Linked DNA regions of Saccharomyces cerevisiae S288C. The gene in region 1 interacts genetically with each later gene. Each region holds a gene or a part of one and is shown in the gene's direction. Other genes may lie near its edges.

Region 1 (3,760 bases):
AGCTATCTCATTATACACTTTGTGAACATACTCCTGTTCTTTTTCAGCCGCTTGGTTTATCTCCATGTTGGTTCTTAACCTTTTATTTCTTGGCTCTTCGAGACCTCATCTCTGTTCAGTTCATTACCGAATTTTTTCTCTTATTCCCATTTCTTCGACTGAAAAGTTGAAAGAAATTGAAAAATCAAGAAGAGGTATATAGAGATAATTATCCATATAAATGAAGAGCACAAAGTAAGTTTGAGCTTCAACAGCGCAACGATGACCGAACCTCAAGGTCCTTTGGACACCATCCCGAAAGTGAACTATCCGCCAATACTGACAATAGCAAACTATTTTTCCACAAAACAAATGATTGACCAAGTCATCAGTGAGGACCAGGACTACGTTACGTGGAAATTGCAAAACCTGCGAACGGGTGGTACATCAATCAACAACCAATTAAATAAATATCCAAAATACAAATACCAGAAAACCAGGATAAATCAGCAAGACCCGGACTCTATCAACAAAGTCCCAGAAAACCTGATCTTTCCACAAGACATTTTACAACAGCAAACACAAAATAGCAATTACGAAGACACCAATACCAACGAAGATGAAAATGAAAAACTTGCGCAGGACGAACAATTCAAGCTCTTGGTAACCAACTTGGATAAAGATCAAACTAATCGGTTTGAAGTTTTCCATAGAACATCCCTAAACAAAACCCAGGTCAAAAAACTGGCTAGCACAGTAGCTAATCAAACTATAAGTGAAAATATTCGTGTTTTTCTGCAAGCGGTGGGAAAAATATACGCTGGTGAGATAATCGAATTGGCCATGATTGTGAAGAATAAGTGGTTGACAAGTCAAATGTGCATAGAGTTTGATAAGAGGACCAAAATAGGCTATAAATTGAAAAAATATCTAAAAAAATTGACTTTCTCCATCATAGAAAACCAGCAATACAAGCAAGATTATCAATCCGATAGCGTTCCCGAAGACGAACCTGATTTCTACTTCGACGATGAAGAAGTAGACAAGCGCGAAACTACGCTGGGCAACTCGTTGCTACAGTCCAAATCCTTACAGCAATCAGACCATAATTCACAGGACTTGAAGCTACAACTCATCGAGCAGTACAATAAGCTCGTCCTCCAATTCAACAAACTAGATGTAAGCATCGAGAAATATAACAACAGTCCCTTATTGCCCGAACACATCCGTGAGGCGTGGAGACTCTACCGTCTGCAGTCGGACACTTTGCCTAACGCTTACTGGAGAACTCAAGGAGAAGGGCAGGGATCCATGTTCAGATAGCTGCCCATAATTGTCCAACGGCTCCAACATATATCAATCTATATATAAACATATATATAATTTTTAACATGTCGTTTGAAATGACATGTCTATTTTTAAAAGGATAGCATATAAATTAATGAAAAAAAAAAAAAGAAAACGATTACTGCAGATCTTCTAATTCTGTTAATCAGCTTTCTCTTGTGAACCATTGGCAGGTGGGTAACATAAAAGCACAATACAATAGCTTCCATTATTAGTTTTGTTTGTTTTGGCAATACATGTTAAATCTTTTTCTTTCAAGTTAAATATAAAGATTATATATAAAAGTACTTCTTTGGAATACATTTGATTATACTTTTCTTTATCGTTTTATTTTTATTTCATCGTTATAGTCGCTTCTTTTCCCCTAGAGGCTTTGTCATAAAACAACAAATCAACCACTCTCTGCTTATCTTTCCTTCCTTTTCAAAATGGGTAATTCAAGTTCAAAATCTTCGAAAAAGGATTCACATTCGAATTCCTCCTCGAGAAATCCTCGTCCTCAAGTGTCGAGAACCGAGACTTCCCATTCTGTGAAGTCTGCAAAATCAAATAAATCTTCAAGATCAAGGCGATCTCTTCCTTCTTCGTCCACTACGAATACTAATTCAAACGTCCCTGATCCCTCCACTCCATCAAAGCCCAATCTTGAGGTTAATCACCAACGACATAGCTCTCACACGAATCGTTACCATTTCCCATCTAGCTCACACTCGCATTCAAATTCTCAAAACGAATTGTTAACTACTCCTTCATCATCCTCTACTAAGAGGCCTTCTACTTCTAGAAGATCAAGTTATAATACTAAGGCTGCTGCTGATTTACCACCTTCAATGATCCAAATGGAACCCAAGTCACCCATTTTAAAAACAAACAATAGTAGCACACACGTATCCAAGCATAAATCTTCATACTCATCTACCTATTATGAGAACGCCTTAACCGATGATGACAATGATGATAAAGACAACGACATCTCGCACACTAAAAGGTTTTCTAGATCTTCGAATTCTCGTCCGTCCAGTATAAGAAGCGGATCAGTGTCAAGAAGGAAATCAGATGTGACCCATGAAGAGCCTAACAATGGATCATACTCCTCTAACAATCAGGAGAATTATCTCGTTCAGGCATTAACCCGGTCAAATTCTCATGCATCTTCGCTACACAGTAGGAAATCTTCGTTTGGATCAGATGGTAATACCGCATACAGCACCCCATTAAACTCTCCAGGCTTGTCCAAGCTAACAGATCACTCTGGTGAATACTTTACCTCTAATTCAACCTCCTCATTGAATCACCATTCAAGTCGCGATATTTACCCGAGCAAACACATCAGCAATGATGATGACATTGAAAATTCATCTCAATTGAGTAATATCCATGCATCAATGGAAAATGTTAATGATAAAAATAATAATATAACAGATAGCAAAAAAGATCCGAATGAGGAATTTAATGATATAATGCAATCTTCCGGAAACAAAAACGCTCCAAAAAAATTCAAAAAGCCTATCGATATTGATGAAACTATCCAAAAATTACTGGATGCGGGCTACGCTGCTAAGAGAACAAAAAATGTTTGTTTGAAGAACAATGAAATTTTACAGATTTGCATCAAGGCTCGTGAAATCTTTCTTTCTCAACCTTCCTTATTAGAATTATCACCTCCTGTAAAAATTGTAGGCGACGTTCATGGCCAATATGGGGATCTCTTAAGGCTTTTTACCAAATGTGGGTTCCCACCATCCTCGAACTATTTATTCCTAGGTGATTATGTGGACCGTGGTAAACAGTCACTGGAGACTATTTTACTATTGTTTTGTTACAAAATAAAATACCCTGAAAATTTCTTTTTATTGAGAGGCAACCATGAATGTGCTAACGTCACAAGGGTTTATGGATTTTATGATGAATGTAAACGTCGTTGTAACATCAAGATCTGGAAGACATTCATCGATACTTTTAATACATTACCATTAGCTGCTATCGTAGCCGGAAAGATTTTTTGTGTTCATGGTGGATTGTCGCCAGTTTTAAATTCTATGGATGAAATCAGACATGTAGTTAGGCCTACTGATGTACCAGATTTTGGCTTAATTAATGATCTTTTGTGGTCCGATCCCACAGATTCACCCAACGAATGGGAGGATAACGAACGTGGTGTAAGTTACTGTTATAATAAGGTGGCAATTAACAAATTCTTGAACAAGTTTGGGTTTGATTTGGTTTGTAGAGCTCACATGGTTGTGGAAGACGGTTATGAATTTTTCAATGATAGAAGTCTCGTTACGGTGTTTTCCGCGCCAAATTATTGTGGTGAATTTGATAATTGGGGGGCTGTAATGAGCGTCAGCGAAGGTTTATTGTGCTCTTTTGAATTGTTAGATCCACTAGATAGTGCAGCTTTGAAGCAAGTTATGAAGAAAGGTAGACAGGA
Region 2 (3,760 bases), on another chromosome or scaffold:
TCAGGTGAGAAATCAAATGCAGTTATTCTATTACTATGACCCCATAATTGACGAACAACTCTTTGAGTAACTGCGTCAATAACAACAATTGATAAGTCGTCTAAAGCCAATGCAAATAGATCGGAAGAACGATGATAAACCATTGCGGTAATAGGTGCATCCAATTTCAATTTTCCCAACAAGGTTGACTTGTTAAAGTCATAAAAACCAACAATACCGTCTAGTCCACAAGAAACCATTTTACGATTCATACCATCTAAGGATATACCGGTGACTGCTCTTTTGTGCAATTTGTATTTTTTACGGAGTATACCACTTTGCATATTATAGATGGTGATAGAGCCGTTAGAAGAACCGATGAATCCAAAATTACCACATTGCGACATGGCCACAGATTTAACAAATCCATCATCAGTAGTATCAAAAGTCCACCTGCCAACTCTTTTATTTCGCATATCCCAGGTTCTTGCAAACTTTTCATCTTTATGTGCAGTGATAATGTTTTCCCATTCACCTATTCTGGCATTTTCAATTGCAAGAGCCACTATTTCAGGAAATTTAGACTTAATTGTACTACCACCTACCCTGCCGCCATCTTGTTTCTTGTGTAACCTTTGTGACATTTCTTGCGACTGTGCATCTTTACGCAGAGAAAAGCTCCATAATGATCTATCTTTGGATGCTGATAGCATGAAGTGTGATTGCGAATCAGCAAACGCAATGTATGAAGGTGGTTGAGAATGACCCCCTCTGGAACGTAGATATCTTGGCGGTTGAACAACTACATCACCGCTTCCTTGAGATAATGACGGATCGAAAACGTACTCCTTCAGGGAATTGTCACCACCTGATGTAACAATAATGGGTTGACCATTTAAAAAAGTAGCCTGAGTGACACCACCGTACGATTCTCTATGAATGTTCTTCAAAACGTGTATTCTTGAACGGCGATCTAAATCATAAAATATTAGATCACCACTGCTCGTTCCCACACTCAAATGAGAAGAACCGTCGGTTCTGAAACTCAATGAGGAGATTCTTGATTGCGGAATCTTAATTGTGCGGATCCTTTTACCTTTTCTCATATTAAACATAATAACCTCACCGGTCACGGTACCTAGAGCAATAATATCCAGGACTGGAGCGGGTTCAGCAGTTGTGATTTGGTCTGGAAATTCGTTTGATGTGAATACAAGCTTCCCGGTTCTGACGTTAAAAAGTAAAACGTTAGATTTGGTAACGACAGTTAATTTATTCAAATAAGTTGCCAAATGTTGTAAAGACACAATTTCGCCACCTTGAATTTCAGTAACGGTAAGTTTAGTGTAGAATTCTGATGGATATTTATCTTGCGGATCGGACTTCTTGTATATAAAGATGGAATTGTCGTCGGTGGAAGCGCAAAGATAATCTCCGAATATGCACAAATGTTCGACATTTGCATCAGTTTCTAGCTCAAGCAAATGTTCCTCAATACCCCTCTTGTAAATACCAACCTTGTTTTCATATGCTGCGTAGACGTAGTGAAAGTGTGCTGATAATGCTACAATTGAGGATGGTGTTTCTTTCTCGGAAACAAAAAGTAAATGTAAGGTATTCGCATCATATATCTGAAATGTTTTACCAACACACGTTACAATGTAAAAGGTAGATCCCAATGTACCAGTAGCAAAAGGAACACCATTGCTAACATTACCAATAATCCGGAAAGGGGAAAATATCTTAGAATTTTTCCCTCTACTTCTTACGTCTTCTTCGACTTTTCTTTTTTTCAAGTCGATAGACATAATGTACTATTCCTAACTCGCTATAGCCTTTTCAGTGTCTTATTCCTTGCTGCTGTTTCGCTGTATATTTATTGTGCTTAGGACTTATTAAATTTCATTAGCAATCTCATCGCGAAATTTTTCTCAAAATTTTTCAGTTAAAAAAAAAAAAGCACGTGCTCAAAAATGTTTTTAGAAAATCATTTATTTAAGATAGGAAAAATGCAATTAATCATTGAATCAATATGTTCACCACTTAAATTACCCACTGAGCATTTCATACAAATTCAAAAGCATCTCGTAGCATATTAATATATTGCAGAAGGTCATGAGTGGGATAAAGAAGGAACCGATTGAATCTGATGAGGTTCCTCAACAAGAGACAAAAAATAACTTACCTAGTGCACCTTCTGAGATGTCACCCCTTTTCCTAAACAAAAACACACAGAAGGCTATGCAATCTATTGCACCAATATTGGAGGGTTTCAGTCCTAAGACGTCAGCTAGCGAAAATATGTCTTTGAAATTGCCACCTCCCGGTATTCAAGATGATCACAGTGAAGAGAATCTCACCGTGCATGATACTCTGCAAAGAACCATAAGCACTGCACTAGGAAACGGAAACAACACCAATACAGTTACAACTTCCGGTTTAAAAAAGGCAGACAGTGAATCAAAGTCAGAAGCTGATCCTGAGGGGCTCAGCAATTCTAACATAGTCAATGATGCAGATAACATAAATTCCATCTCCAAGACCGGATCGCCCCATTTACCTCAAGGAACAATGGACGCTGAGCAGACTAACATGGGAACTAACTCTGTACCTACTTCATCAGCTTCTTCACGCAAATCCTCGACTAGTCATCCCAAACCTAGGCTACCCAAGGTAGGGAAGATTGGGGTATGTGCAATGGATGCAAAAGTCCTTTCAAAGCCAATGAGACACATTTTGAATCGTTTAATTGAACATGGTGAATTTGAAACTGTCATTTTTGGAGATAAGGTGATTCTAGATGAAAGAATAGAGAATTGGCCAACTTGCGACTTTTTGATATCTTTCTTTTCTTCAGGATTTCCCCTAGATAAAGCAATTAAATACGTCAAGTTACGCAAGCCTTTCATTATCAATGATTTAATAATGCAAAAGATTTTGTGGGACAGGAGATTATGTCTACAAGTATTAGAAGCCTACAACGTTCCAACACCTCCTAGACTGGAAATCAGTAGAGATGGTGGTCCCCGTGCCAACGAAGAATTAAGGGCAAAATTACGTGAGCATGGCGTAGAAGTTAAACCCGTTGAAGAACCGGAATGGAAAATGGTTGATGATGATACTTTAGAAGTTGATGGGAAAACCATGACTAAGCCCTTTGTTGAAAAGCCCGTTGATGGTGAAGACCACAACATTTATATATACTATCATTCTAAGAACGGAGGAGGCGGTCGTCGTCTATTCCGTAAAGTTGGTAACAAGTCTTCTGAGTTTGATCCTACTTTGGTTCATCCTCGTACGGAGGGGTCTTACATTTATGAGCAGTTTATGGATACCGATAATTTCGAAGATGTGAAGGCTTATACGATTGGTGAGAACTTTTGTCACGCTGAAACTAGGAAATCACCTGTGGTTGATGGTATAGTTAGAAGAAATACTCATGGTAAAGAAGTTAGATATATTACTGAGTTATCAGACGAAGAGAAAACCATTGCTGGGAAAGTTTCCAAAGCTTTTTCACAAATGATCTGTGGTTTCGATTTGCTTCGCGTTTCTGGTAAAAGTTACGTCATTGATGTTAACGGATTTTCTTTTGTAAAGGATAACAAAGCTTACTATGATTCATGCGCCAATATATTGAGAAGTACCTTCATTGAAGCCAAAAAGAAGATGGATATGGAAAAGAAGAATCTGCCCATTATTCGTGAAGAAAAGGAACAAAAGTGGGTATTCAAAGGACTGGCTATCATTATCCGTCACGCGGACAGAACACCAAAACAGA

Evidence for each region. A genetic interaction does not mean that the proteins touch.
Region 2: mutations in PPZ1 (region 1) and VIP1 together harm fitness more than expected from each alone (negative genetic interaction), as found in Saccharomyces cerevisiae (4 studies listed by BioGRID).

What each region holds. Positions count from the first base shown.
Region 1 is NC_001145.3:239,531-243,290, reverse strand, and holds the start of PPZ1 (salt homeostasis regulator), read left to right. Parts: upstream 1-1,754; coding exon 1,755-3,760. Other genes in the region: TRM9 (tRNA (carboxymethyluridine(34)-5-O)-methyltransferase), read right to left, coding at 1-66; TATA-binding protein-associated factor TAF11, read left to right, coding at 262-1,302. UniProt on the Saccharomyces cerevisiae protein: Essential for the maintenance of cell size and integrity in response to osmotic stress.
Region 2 is NC_001144.5:935,447-939,206, forward strand, and holds the start of VIP1 (inositol polyphosphate kinase VIP1), read left to right. Parts: upstream 1-2,094; coding exon 2,095-3,760. Other genes in the region: rRNA-processing protein UTP21, read right to left, coding at 1-1,787. UniProt on the Saccharomyces cerevisiae protein: Bifunctional inositol kinase that acts in concert with the IP6K kinases to synthesize the diphosphate group-containing inositol pyrophosphates diphosphoinositol pentakisphosphate, PP-InsP5, and bis-diphosphoinositol tetrakisphosphate, (PP)2-InsP4.